Linked DNA regions of Mus musculus: all the other regions are reported to be linked to region 1. The links are microRNA targets in miRTarBase. Many come from high-throughput screens and were not tested one by one. Region 1 holds a microRNA gene; each other region holds the end of a gene's coding sequence. Distances are between the middles of the regions.

Evidence for each region. The annotated mature microRNA mmu-miR-466k reads UGUGUGUGUACAUGUACAUGUGA and lies in region 1 at 1,829-1,851, shown strand. An mRNA with a match to its seed (bases 2 to 7 or 8) in the 3' UTR can be bound and repressed. Matches are read on the target gene's strand: a 7mer-m8 pairs with bases 2 to 8, a 7mer-A1 pairs with bases 2 to 7 and ends in A, and an 8mer does both.
Region 2: miRTarBase lists Shisa6 as a target of mmu-miR-466k. Seed matches in the 3' UTR shown: 7mer-A1 at 1,945-1,951, 8mer at 1,943-1,950, 8mer at 1,941-1,948, 8mer at 1,939-1,946, 8mer at 1,937-1,944, 8mer at 1,935-1,942 and 12 more.
Region 3: miRTarBase lists Sike1 as a target of mmu-miR-466k. Seed matches in the 3' UTR shown: 7mer-A1 at 1,874-1,880, 8mer at 1,875-1,882, 8mer at 1,877-1,884, 8mer at 1,879-1,886, 8mer at 1,881-1,888, 8mer at 1,883-1,890 and 12 more.

The regions. Positions count from the first base shown.
Region 1 is chr3:85,465,568-85,470,202 of GRCm38, forward strand. Mir466k (microRNA 466k) reads left to right here and starts at 1,810; the gene lies at 1,810-1,931. The region is part of intron 1 of Gm31419 (a long non-coding RNA gene); the gene reads right to left.
Region 2 is chr11:66,214,039-66,218,673 of GRCm38, forward strand. Shisa6 (shisa family member 6) reads right to left here. Exons shown (of 5, transcript NM_001034874.3): 5 at 1-3,984. The coding sequence ends at 3,434. All of the region lies in intron 1 of Gm12296 (predicted gene 12296), which reads left to right. Among named protein-coding and RNA genes, the nearest start is that of Dnah9, 48 kb to the left of the region's middle.
Region 3 is chr3:103,000,772-103,005,406 of GRCm38, forward strand. It overlaps Sike1 (suppressor of IKBKE 1), which reads left to right. Exons shown (of 5, transcript NM_025679.3): 5 at 937-3,143. The coding sequence ends at 1,038. Among named protein-coding and RNA genes, the nearest start is that of Sike1, 7.3 kb to the left of the region's middle.

The DNA of each region.
Region 1 (4,635 bases):
CATCCCATCGTCTCTAACATCTGCATACTTGCACTTCACAGCTCACAAGTCTAACCTTCCCAGGTAACTGGCCCATTTGGGTCTGGTGTACCTTCAATCTCTCTTTTTTTATTTTCTTAAAAGAAACATTTGAGAGCTGAGCATCTAAGATGGCTTTGGATTCACACCCACTGTCTGTGGAACAGCTTGAGGCTGACAAGATTAGCTCGCTGGAACGCTCTGGGATCCGTTCAGCCTAAGCTGCTGCCCACACACCAGCCTTGCTCACAGAAGCTGCTTTCCGCAAGCAGCAGCCCGCTTCACCTCCTCCATCCTGGCTCGTGGAACTGGTCCTTGATGTCCTACCTGGTCTTGAGGACAGTGGCTTCCAGCCTCAACCAGTCCTCATTCCCAGATTCCAGGATGTGACCATGGTGATGTCTCAGCCTCTCCAGAGGAGTCCGAAGGGTGATACTTCTGTCCTTCCTCCTCCCATGTCTAATCACCTGATTTTACAGAACCCAGCATAGCGAGCAGTGCTGCAAGCTTCCTTCCCCTCCCTCGGCTCTCTTCTTCTGTCCCTTCTTTCTGTAATATCCAAGGGGACCAGACAGAGTGGGCCTTGATAACACACATTCCCTTGGCTCCAGAGCAGTAGCTTCTAAAACCTGTAAATAAGACAGCTCTATGCCCCTGTGTAGACATACACCCCAAGGATAGGCTGGCTCCCTGGTACCTGTCCAGAGTTGAGAGTTCAAAAGACAGACCAGTGGATAGAAATGCTATCATGCCCACCCACCCCCACCCCGCCAAGCAAGGCCTGCTGGCTCATGTACCTGGCCAGACATTACATGAGCAACGGGCAGTAATTGTTGTCTAATCTCTTCCCAGAGGTTTCAACTAGTTCCAAACTGTTGTGGCTAATAAAAACAGAGAAGATTTGCAAGAAATTCCAGGTGCATCGGAACACTTTGGGGGATTGTGCAGCCTGCAGGCAGACGAAACTTAACTCAAATAAACATAAGGTAATATGTGTTGGCAAAAGTAACCTGAAGTGGGAGTATACAACTGTACGTTTCAAATTGGCTGCTGCCTGTAAGGATGGAGATTGGTAGTAGCTCAGAATGGATGAAGTGGGCAGAGTAGCCAATGTGCATCCCAGAATAACCGAGGCAAATCAGATCTCATCTCACACAGACCCCATCAGTGGCCCAAGATGGAGCACATGACAGATTCCGCAGTCCCACTTTCTACTTTAAGGATGAGGAGACATCGTGGAGTGGCCTCCAGATTTAGGGGTCTCCTGTGAGCCAGGAATGTGTGGTCATGTTCTCAATGGAGCGAGTAAAAGAAAGTGTCTGTTTTTGTTCATTGAAGTCATTGACTCCAAGCCCTGGAAGCTGCCATGTTACCTCCATCTGCTGCCTAACTCTCAGGGCCACATTTAGATAAAGAGCCGAACTTCTGAACTGCAACAGCCCTGGACTTCAGTCAATTCCCTACTTTCTTACAGAAAAGAAAATATTGAAAAGCTGTATTATGGTGTCTTATATGAATGTGCTAGTTTCCAGGATGGGAGGGGCTGTATATTCACCTATATTCACACACATATACATGTGTGCATGTGATATACATTCATGTACACCCTCCTATAGAAATAAGTGTATGTGTGTGTGTGCATGCATATGTGTATATGTGTATGTATGTGTGTGCATATACACATGGGTGTGCATGTGCATGAGTGCATGTACGTGTATATGCATGTTCTCTATTGATATGTGTGTGTGTGTGTGTGTGTGTGTGTGTGTGTGTGCAGGTGTGTATATACATATATATGTGTGTGTGTGTGTGTGTGTGTACATGTACATGTGAGTATGTGTGTGTATATGTTTGTACATGTGCATGTGTGTGAGTATGTGAATATATGTGTATATGTGTGCATGTGCATGTGTGTGTATGGTGAGTAGGTGTTACTAATTGTGACTCCGATGGCTGTGTCTCCATCTGGCCTAGGTGACAGGTAAGCAACTGCACTGATCTTTCACAGGTAGCAGCAGCCTTATAGGGCAGGAGAAGACTGGCACCTCTGCACTGGCCGTGACCTTACCTGCAAGCCCCCGAGGAACAGGAGCTTTTTTACTCCTCCATCTTCTGGCTTCCCAAGCAGGTGCTGATATCTTGACAGGGAAGGGGAAATGCTCTGTCCTGGCCCTCTTGCCTCACAGAACTAAAAGCTAAACATGGCTTCAACTACCTCAGCGGCTTTCTTCTCCCACAACCACATGCAGTAGAGAGGCCCAGCGCTGCAGAATACATCTGTGATAGGAGAGGAGAGCTTGGATCTGGAATGTTCTAGAAAGTGATGGAATAATTTGAAATCCAAACTGTCTAAAGGCTGAAGAAGAAAGGAAGCCATTGCCACCTGCAGGAAGCAGCCAGGTCCTTTTGACCTCTCAAAGTTCTTGGCTGTGAGGTTCCATCATTCAGCTGATAAAACAGAGGAACAAATGTTACACAGGGAAGTTCACAGGAAAAGGGTCAGTACAGAGTGTGCAGAGCTTCTGGTGGTATAAAAGCCAGTCACTGAAAACTAGGGACATGTCCTCAGTCCTTGAGACCTGAAGTCATCTCTTCTCTTCTAAGCATCCATTATACCCAGGATTCCACAGCCCTAGGCCTTCTGGAAACAAACTTCATTTCCCCAAAAATTGTCTGCTACCCTAATGCCACCGGAACAAGTTTTTTAGCTCTTGGGTTATAGCTCAATGATGAAACACTTGCCCAGCATATACAAGACCCCAGATTCCACCTCCAACAACAACACAAAGCACGCCAGTACATCTCAGCCTGTGCAGAGGCTCAAATTTCGAAGGAAATAGGAAATAGATTCATTCATTCATTTAGTGACTCTTTCTCTTCTGCTGTGTATGAGACGCTGTGTTAGGCAACACCAGAAATAAGGTAAAGATTTAGCAGGTGACCACAAACGAGAAAGTGCAGTGCGTTCTCCACTTTAATCAGAGCAAGCCAGCAAATAAAATGTTCTAGGCAGTTTGTCTTGGCACCAGCCACAGGAATTTACCTGTGACATCCTAATAAAGAGGACACTGAGACATGACATCCACAAGGACTTGATTGGCTCTCCTGGAGCTGATTGTGCACACCAACCCCCAGGAAATAAGGCCAGGAGGTCTGTGGTGAAGCCTGAGTGTCCACGGTCCAACTGGGTCCTGGGTAACGTGGAAGCTGTTGTGAGTCTTGTCCTCAGAGACATGTATATAGAAAGACTCTAGTTCACCTCACTCTACTGAGCTGCATCTTAGGAAGGGCAATTAAATCCTAGCTATCACCCTGCAGCTGACAGGGCACACACACACTGCCAGCTCTCAACTAACTGGTCACACCCAGGGTATTTTCAGGCTATTATTATTATTATTATTATTATTATTGTATCTCAGAATATTTATATGAATAGCAGAGGAAAAAATATTTATTTACTTCCTTTTAAACATTTTTTTTTCTAAGTCTAACTTTTCATATTGTTGGGAGGCTACAAACTCAAGATTGTTTCCAAGGGATACCTGGAAAGCTAGGATGTCACCAGAATGTAGGACCATCTGCTACAGCAGATACTACTTCCTCCCTTGAGCTGAGAGACTTGGAAAGATTGACCCCAATTAAGAAGATGGGGGAGCAGGCAGGATGAGGAGGGAAGGAGGGAGGTTTTAGATAATGCGATGGTGTATCTAAAGCCACTGATTCGGGAAGAAACAGAGAGAGAGAGAGAGAGAGCACACCAGATCCAGCTGGCCTCTAGCTCTCTTTCCCTCCACCCAGACTGATATGTGTGAGCTGTCCTCTCTCCTCCTCCAGTTGTCTGCACAATGCCACCGCTCAGGTCACCCCATGTCACTGTTTCCTTCTGCCCTTGCCAGGGCCCACTGTCTCGCTAGTTCATTTCACTGCATTTAGCACCGACAGTGACCCACAGAAGAAAATACAGTAGAGGACACAGCCAATACGAAGCCCCAAGGCAGGAACAGCTGCTATCATGTAATCAGTAAGGGCAAGAGGATCCAAAAACAAGCCATTAGAGAGAATGCCACGAGGTGGGCCCTCGAGAGTGCTTTGGAGTCTGTACCAGTCATCAGTTGCTGCATGGCAACCACAAACATCCAGTAGTGCCCACCAAGAAGCCTGTTGTTTCCACTGCCCAGTAGTGCATGGATAAGGGCAGCTGACCTTCACAGCCTCGGTCCGGGGCCTGAGAGCAGAGTAGGAGGAGCAGTTTACAATAGCAGCACCCGAGGCCAGCAAACCCAATGGCATAGGCGCCTGCCAATCTTCCATAGGGGTCAAGACCACGCCCATCCTGTGTGGTGACTAAGTCAAGGTCAAGCAGCAGACAGTACAACAGTACTACGGTGAGGCTGTGGCAGGGGAGTCACATGGCAAAAATGAGGACAGGAATTCATTCTGCCACAGGCTGTGATGGGGAAACCACTGTAAATGGGACAAGGAATGTGGGCCAATACTAAAGAACATGGCATGAAACCCATGAAACCGTAGTTCAGGCACCAGGCCCTAAGCAGAAGGGAGAACACATTCAATTTGAATTCTGCAGGACTCCCAGGTCAAGCACAGCTAGACAGAAAA
Region 2 (4,635 bases), not on the chromosome of region 1:
AAGAGGAAACTGGCATAGGAGGTTAAGACAGAAATAAGAATATAAAGAAGGGGAGAGATTTCAGTAAGGTAAGGACTGGACCTTCTCAAGGGAAACACATTGCCTAAGACACTGGGGAATTCTAACGGTCAAAGTCCACTTAGGAGGTTAAGGAATTATTGGCAAGCTTTTGTGGCTCATGAATATATGCAGCCAAGAGTTCACTGGAGGGGGTAAGAAAGGAGTGGTGATGGATGGGTGTGGTAAGAGATCTTCAGGAAGAATACTTGGGGTAAGTGAGACCTATACATACCTAAGTCCAGGGCAGTGAAGACATGCAGAAGGAAGTCTTGGGTTTCCTTGGGATATGAGTGTTTATCACAAGGGGTCCGTGCCCCTCCTATGTGACAGAGGATACCAGCCTGCTTGGGTTAGAAGCAGTGACCAGGGTTCCAGCCCCAGACACTCTCAAGTGACTTCATATAGCAACAGAGCTAGCTGGTTCTGGAGTGACAGATGAGTTGAGGGGATCTAGTGGTTTTCCCTTATCACTGAGGGATAAGCTCCAACAATCCCATTGGGTGCTCGAAACCACACATAGTCCCACACTCTCTATATAGGTATTGTGTTTTTCTTCGTATACATACAATAAAGTTTAATTTGAAAATTAGGCACAGAAAGAGATTGACAATAATAAAGTAGGGCAAGTTATAAGAATATACTGTAATAAAAGCTATGTAATTGTGGACTCTCTCAAAAGAGTTAAGACAAATATAAATATTTCTGGATCATGGTTGTCTACAGGTAATTGAAATGGAGTCATGCAAAACTGAAGATGGGGGTTGGTTACTGTTTTTTCCATGTCCCAGTTAAGACACAGTTTTCTGGAGTTTGGAGGGGGGACTGGATTAACATAGTTTGTAGAGTTATATTTGTTATTGTTTTCCTTCCAAGGATGAAGCACAAGAAAAGCCTTCAGGAGAAGCAAGCATTACATTAGAATTTTCTGATGTAACTGATGCCAGGTACTTTATACCAGATGGTGATAAGGCAGGGATGAGAAATAGTTTGGAAAACAACTTATCAAACAGCCCCTGAGACAGACAGACAGACAGACAGACAGACAGACAAGAAGCTAGACAGACAGACACATTGTGAGAGCCAAGGCTGGGGGAAGAGCCTGGGATAAGGTCTTGCTCCCCAAAGGCTGCAAAACTTGGTGTCTGAAAGATTTTCCATGGGATGTACAAACACATGGGAGGGGATTCTTGCCCACCACAGTCTTGCCCTTCCCCCTTTGCACCAGCACATGGCCTTCAAAGAGACTGGCTAAGGGTTAAGGAGAGTTACAAGGTGCTGGGCTGGGGGCCAGCTGTCAGACACGCCTTTGCTTCTGAAAGTGAGCCATTCTCTATTTGGATTGAGTTCCTCTCTTCCTGTGAGCCTTACCTTCTGCAACAAATGCTCATAGACCCAATGGGGACCAGCCCTTAAGAAGGTTTGTATTTGCAGGGAGCAAAGCAGAATGGCCACATAGTGCCAGGGACACCCCCTCAGTGGGGAGGCTAAGGACTACCTTTAGAAACCCCAGTTTCAATCCTTCTGGGTTATGCAGAACATAGCTGCTCATGGAGGGGGGGGATTCTGGGAAGGGGCTCAGGAGAACCTACAGCTCTTGAAAGTAGGAAGGGAAAGCAGTCCTCTGGCTTCTCTGTGGCTCTCTAGACTTGGCTGGATTAAAGATGACCAGAGTGAATGCAAGCTTCTCACCATCTCACTTTTAAGGGTTATCCATGCAGAACTGGGGGCAGGGGTATAAAATCTGATGTAAGGGCATTGCTGCTGGAGTCTGGTAAGTGATGGTTTTATCTCTCCACAAGACATTCTGGACTGATTCTCCCCAGTCCCAGAGAGGTGCTCTGGCCCTCAGAAGTGTGTGTGTGTGTGTGTGTGTGTGTGTGTGTGTGTGTGTTTTGTCTCATTGTCTTCTTCCTTCTGATCTTGGATCAGTAGCTGGTTACATCTTGTCCCCCTTCAGGTTGGAGGCAAAGATGGGGCTGAGCTGGGCTGGCAATGGGGTCTTTCACAGAGCTGAAGATGCCTCTGCCATATGCCCAAGCATTCCTGCAAGGAAGAAAGCTCAAAACAGTCCCCAGAGCAACATCCTGGGACACCATTATTTATTTGCATCTGCCAATGGATCTTGGTCCCTTGGATCCACTGACTGAGAAAAGTAATGGAGCTGCAGACAGCAAGGTGGGAGATAGGTCTGGGAGAGAACAGAGGGAGAAAGAAAGGGTTCTAAACAGAAAAGGGGTGGTGGTGTGGGCAAAGATGATGGAAAGGACTGGGAAGGGTCTAGCATGACCACCTCAGAGGGTTCCTGCTTTTTTGAGGGCTAAGCTTCTTCTGTCTGTGTCTGGAAACTTCTGCCTGAGGCTCATGGATGGGGGGACAGGCAGAGCCCTAGAAAATGGAAATGGTGAGCCCCTGAGACCCTGGGCATCACAGTGGTCCTCCCGACCCTAGCTCTCTGCCCACCGCAGGTGCCTCCTGGGAGCAGAGCTCAGGTGAAGAAGGCAGGCCTGAGAGGAGGTCCTAGTTCAGACCTGAGGCCTGGAGGAAGTAAGGAGACAATCAGGCGGTTGCCGAGGCACCTCTAAAGTCCTGGCAACCTGTCGCTACTCCTCTCTGGAGGGCAAGGGCTAATGCCCCCTCTTGGGGGCAAGAGCTTAAACCCCAGAGAGCTTTGAGGAGAAACAGTGAATGCTGGGAGAACAGAGTCCCCACAGCAGAGGCAGGGGCAACCAAGCAGCTGCAGGAAGGGACCCCTCCCCGTTGTTGGGCTGCAGGGCTCAGCGAGGGAAGGGCCACTCGGTAGAGACCAGAGTTCCAGCAGGCGGAAGAGAATCATATTGTGCTTATGGACACAGCAGCTCTCTGGCTGAGAGCGAGCAGGCAGTTTTTAGGCACTAAGAGATTATCTGCGATGCAGTTGTAGATAAAGGAAGAAGACCGAGTAGCCTATTCGGTCAGCCCACTGACTGCACCCTCTAGCCAGCTAGCTGTTCAAACTCAGGCAGCTTCCGATTACCTTCAGGAGAGGGTCCACTGGTTGGCAGAACCCGCAGCTGAGTCCCCAGGAAGGGGCGGGGCAGGGACTGAGGGAGTGGTGTAGGTGTTCGAAAGACTTGAACCTCACTACACTTCTCATCTACAGGGGAAGTCTACTGGGAGAGAAAGAGCTTTAAAGAGCCTAGGTCCGTGCTTGTTGGACCAGGCATTTGGTGCCATCTCCCTGGGGGTATGGCTTTCTGGACAAAGGCAGCCCACCTCCAGCTTTAATGGGGGGATCCAGGGAGGGGAGGAGAGCAAGGCGGGATGCTCCTCGCCCCTGCCCTACTCTGCTCTGTCCTGCCCTGACTCTGCCAAGCAGCCCTGGCCACATTGTTGGTCACACGGTCACTTCAGTCTTGCTGGCTGTGTAGCAGGTGTGATGGCCTGGGATATAGTGTAACTGCTCCACCGTGTTGTGTCTGCGAGAGGCAAAGGCGTGGCGCTTGGCTGCTGTCTGGCTCTGGCCCAGGGTGGCATAGGAGTTATTGGAGGCACTGGGATGGGAGTGCATCTTGGTCATGCGGTAGCGGTCCAGCACTGGCGTGGACACAAAGACGTCCGTATGCGAGATGGCCCGCGACAGCGACTGCTCCGGGAAGGCTGTCCTCTCTGGGGACAGCAACGGGTCCTGGGAGTGCAGGCGCTCTGTGGAGAGCAGCTGTTCATCAGACAAGATGCGGTCATAGGGCATGCCGAATTCATCTGGCAATCCCCGACGTGGAGACAAGACCCTGTCCTGGGACATGGCCCTGATGGGCCTGCGTGGCCGTTCTCGAGGAAGTGGCTTCTGTTGAGACATCTGGATGACATTGAGGGGGAGGGTACCACGGGCTGCAAGGTCTGGCAGGTGCCTCCTTCTCATGTAATACTCATCAGCTTCCTTGTCCGCTGCGAGGAGACAGAGAGAATGCAGTGAGGTGATGGGGCAGCCACAATCCAGGGAGTAAGGTGTTCATGTGTGGTGTATACATGTGCACATGCGCAAGCAAACACCACATACCTGAAAACCTACAAGGATAATGAAGTCAAACTCCTTTAGTTAGTAGAGTATGTGGGGGAGGGGGGGGGCGAGAGACAGACAGGTGACCTTAACTCCCTCCTCTACTGTATACACAAACCAATCCTTGAGCGCTTGTGAAAGATGGGCCCTGATTCAGGGTCACTAACTGCCTTTGTCTCAGACTCCTATCTCCAGTGGGTCCCCCAATGCTGTCCTTCAGGGATCATCTTGGGGGTCAGTTAAATGACTTCCCCATCCGGCTCATAGTGGCACTGATGGCAAGCTCAGGGCATTCTTTTTTTTTTTTTTTTTTTTGGCTTGCCTGCTGTGTCTACTGCATGTGGTTCTGAAGTAGATTGGTTCCTGGTCTTGCTAAAAACAACCCAGGTAGAGCTGACAGCTTTCCTATGATGGATAGAGCACTTCTTTATGGAAACTGGGCACAGAACCAGCTTCTGTCAGAATTAAGTAGGATGCTCATCTAGGAGGCGTTTGTGACTAGCTTCACTGGTAACCTAGGAACCTAGTAACACCTTCTC
Region 3 (4,635 bases), 18 Mb from region 1:
TATCTCAAAATAGACAATAATTTTCTACAAAAAGGATAAGGATAGAGTGTAGCCTATCCTTAGCTAAAAAAGAAAGTGATAGGTGTCAATTATCAAAATTAGTAATTAAATTAGGGACAGAGAGATGGCTTAGTGGTTAAAAGCCCTTGTAGCTCTTACAGAGGATCTGGTTTGATTCCTAGCACCCATATGGTGGTGACTCACGACCTATGTAACTCTAGTCCCAGACCAACAGTGCCCTCTTCTGACCTTCCAGGGTACCAGCTATGCACATGATGCACAGACATCCATGGAGGTAAAACATTCATACACATAAGATATTGAAATAAATCTAAAATGAAAAGGCTTAATCGTTTAAAGTCCAGGTGTGGCAGAGCATACCTCTAGTAATCTGGAGGCAAGGTCAGGCAGGTATCTGTTTAAGGTCAGTGTGATCTGCATATCAATTTCTAGGCCAGCAAACTCCACTCAGTAGGACTTTGTCTTTAAAAAACAATTTTTTAAGCGAGCAATGGTGACGCACACCTTTAATCCCAGCACTTGAAAGGCAGAGGCAGGTGGATTTCTGAGTTCAAGGCCAACCTGGTCTACAGAGTGAGTTCCAGGACAGCCAGGGCTATACAGAGAAACCCTGTCTCGAAAAACCAAAAAAAGGGCTGGTGAGATGGCTCAGCAGATAGGAGCACTTGACCGCTCTTCCGAAGGTCCTGAGTTCAAATTCCAGCAACCACATGGTGGCTCACAACCACCCATAATGAGATCTGATGCCCTCTTCTGGCACATCTGAAGACAGCTACAGTGTACTTATGTATAATAATAAATAAATCTTAAAAAAGAAAAGCCAAAAAAAAATTTTTTTTTCCTCTTTCTGGGCCAAAATAGTATGTTCTGACATAGTTTAACAATTAAAACACAGGAAATATCTTTTCTCCCCAGCTTGAAAATAAGGAACTTCGAGAGTTACTGTCCATCAGCAGTGAATCTCTGCAGGTTGGAAAAGAAAGCTCTGTGGCTCCTGCCTCTCAGACCATCAAGTAACTGGACTTCCGAAGGCTGGCTACAGCTTGCCCGTCAGAGCGAGAAGCCGTGCCCTCCTCTCCTGCCGTGTCCAAGAGTCCTGCCGCAGACTTGACTTAGTGTTGGGTAGAGGTATGGGGTGGCAGTTTAGAATTGCCACTTGGTATTCATTGTCCACTAACTAGTTTGGGGTGTACTAGTGAAACTAGACAAGTCCCCCATTGCTGGGACAGAGATGACATTTGTCACTCTAGTCCGGAATCTCTATAAACTGTTACCTGCAGTTCAATGTTGTTTTTCACAGCTTGGAAACACTGAACACTTTTATTATAAGCCAGGATTTTATTTTATATAGGATTATAAAAATTCCTTCTAAGAGTTTTTCAAAGATTTAACTTTTTAAAAATACATATTTGGTGTAAACCTAGATTTTTTTTTTCTTCCACTTGTAAAAGTAGCATGACTTCAAAGAAGCAGATTGGCAGAGTCTCTGAGTGACGTCGCTCATCCATGGGGTTTGATCCTCTCCGGTGCTAGGAGTTGGCACTTTGTGGTCAGGTGTCTTTGCTCTTAATTTGAGAGAATCTATTAGTCCCCAGGAAATACGCTTGAAAACAAGTAAGCCGGGTTCGCGTTGCTCCTCCTCCTCCTCAAGGATCCACAGTCATTCAGAGAGTGCTGAGGAACTTGGGCCTGCCCCATCATGCACAGGGAGCTATTAGATGTACATGACTGTACATGTACATTGGACTTAAATGCCAAAAATAGCTTTTATTTATTTGACCAAGTAGTTTTCCATTCTGTCTGCCTAAGGAGTCTTCGGCTTAGGTAGTTGCCTTGTATGAGACATACACATACACACACACACACACACACACACACACACACACACACATACCTCACTCACAGGTTCCTAGCTCCTAGGCACTTTCATGGACACACAGCTGTGCTGTGCTGTGCTGTGCAGAGCAGCACCACTGGGATGGTTTAGACCGGCATCAGTACTTTGCTGTCTTTCCATCTGCTGGGTTTTCTCATGGAAGCATTTTATTACTCACAGAAAGTTACCACATTCCTGATGCCATGCATTCAGGCAATCAAGAACAACCTGAGATTCTAATAGCTCCCTGTCAGTTCCTTCTCATCTTGGTTTGCTCATATGTCAGGTTTATAAATAATTCCTTTTGCACTGTTTGCCCAGATGGACTTTGGTTTTTGTTCCCATGTTAACTTTCACTCCAGCTGCTCCCCTTGATGTTTCCCCTAAGGGCCCCAAGTGTGTACTCCACAAACCCATTCAGGGGTGGGTTCCTTTACCACTTGTCAGCTGTCACAGCAGGTCCCATCACAGTGAGAGCATTATCAGTCAGTCTATTTCAGCAGTGAGCATGGTGTCCCTTTCTTTATCTGCCTTCTGTTCCCGTAGCACTCACTACAAAGGTCTTTGCATCTAGCTTTCAGAGGAATCTCTCCATTGCAGTCCTGAGGGTAGAGCAAGCTTTCGGTGCCCTGTGTCGTATAAATTCTGCCTGGTGTTAGTGCTGTGAAGGCATTGCAGAGCTAGCACATTGAATGGAGAAAGAATGTTTCACACTTGTGTGAAGATGCTAATATCTCTTGCAATGGGTGGAAGTATTTAGTGTATAAAATTTTAGTATGAAATTATATTAACTAATAAAAACCTTTTTGAGAAGATTTGCTCATTTTACTGAGAAATGAGTCTAAGAAGTTGAGCTGGAAAAAAAAAGGAAGTTTAGCTGAGCAGTGGCGATGTACACCTGCAATCCCAGCACTTGGAAGGCAGAGGCACATCTCTTGAATTCGAGGACATGCAGGTTTACCTAGTGAGTCCCAGGAGACTACACAGGGAGACCCTGTCTTGAAAAAAGCAAAAAGAAGTATAGGAGATTTTTTTCACATATTCACATACATAGCAACCATGGCAAGTGTTCATGACATAGATGTCATAAGCAGCTTGCAATTATTCAATATATTCAGCAGTATAAACCTTTGAAAAGCACATTAACAACCTATTCATTGCAGAAGTCCTGAATGTATAATTTACCACTGAAGTCTATTTCCATGTTTCTTAAAATGCACCTAATGAAATAGAAATTTATGGATGGAATCTGGAATTTACATCTTAATAATCATTCCAGAAAACGGCAGTACCGGTTTAAGAACATGTCTGTTAGGGCTAGGAGATGGCTCAGCAGGTCTAAGTGCTTACCATGAAGTCAGATGGCCTGAGTTCAATTCCTCAGAACCCACATGAGGGAAGGAGAGAACCAACTTCTAAAAATTACCTTCTGACCTACAACACACAAACAGATAAATTGTGTATGATGTTCTGTGCAAATTATTTCACTAGGAGTTAAAAACAAACCGACTTTAAAATGAGAAGAGTGGTAAAGGGATATTACAGAGGGGTGGGATATAGCAGCGCTATTCCCCTCTATGCTGCCTGCCCGATAGCAGCAGATAAATTGGGCATGGTGGCACATGCCTGTAATCCCAGAATTTGGAGCAGAAGCAGGAAGAGCAGAAATCCAAGGTCATTCTTGGCTACATAGTAAATTCAAAACCAGCCTGGGCTACAAGAGACCCTGTCTCAAAAAACTAAACAAAATGTTGTGCAGATAATTTTGATGCAGTGTGTTACATCAGATGTAAGTGTAGGATACAGCACAGAAAGGGCTGTGTTATTTGAGAATCTAAAAGTTGACCAGGGAAGGGGGTGGGGGAGGGGTGGTGCTAGGAGAAAACATAGAAAACAGCTGCAGAATCGAAGTCCAGGGGGTCCTGCAATGGTTACTTCCTTATACTAAGGGGTTTTCTGTGTCAGCTGACACAGCATCCCCGCTTCAGTTCTTTACAGTTCCATACATACTAGAAGGTTCTAATTTGTCCAAAGTGGAGCCAAGAATCACACTCAGGCACTCTTCAGCACATTTCTTAAGGACCAAGTTAAGGCACCTTTAAATGCACATAACTGTGGAGTTCATGGATCTTGATCGGCAAAGTCAGTCAACAGGTTAATTAACAGGGTAAGAGAGACACTATGGCCTGTGTGTTGTGAATACCGTGACTTCTGTTTAGTTCACGCTGCTGCATGGTCCCTAGAATGCTGTGCCTGTGAGTGGTCCTCAGTGTGGAGGGAAGGGTGCATTTCTGCACAGGGTGCCTTTTTCCACGTTGGCTCCGTCTGTGATGCTGTTATCTTGTTATAGGCTACTGCTGTGTCAGATGTCATGCCCATGTGGAAGACAGGGAAAAAATAGAAAACTGCCTGCCCTACACTACAGACACATGGGGAAAGCAAACGTTTCCAGAAATTCTAATGGAGTTCTCTCCATATCTGCCTCACTTATTAAATAGACATGTCTAATTGCAAAGGAAGCTAGGTACACAGCCGTGCCAAATAAAATCAGTATCCTCTTAGCAAAGAGAAATCATACTGAGAAAACAGTAAGGCCTGATTGTTACAGTAAGGCATTTTACCGTAAATATAATTTTTAACAAATTAAAATTATTAGCTGCAGGGATGCCTACGTTGAGTCACTAAGAAAATGAGCTGTAGTGGACACTGTTATTTCTTTACTGACTGCTCAATGTCCT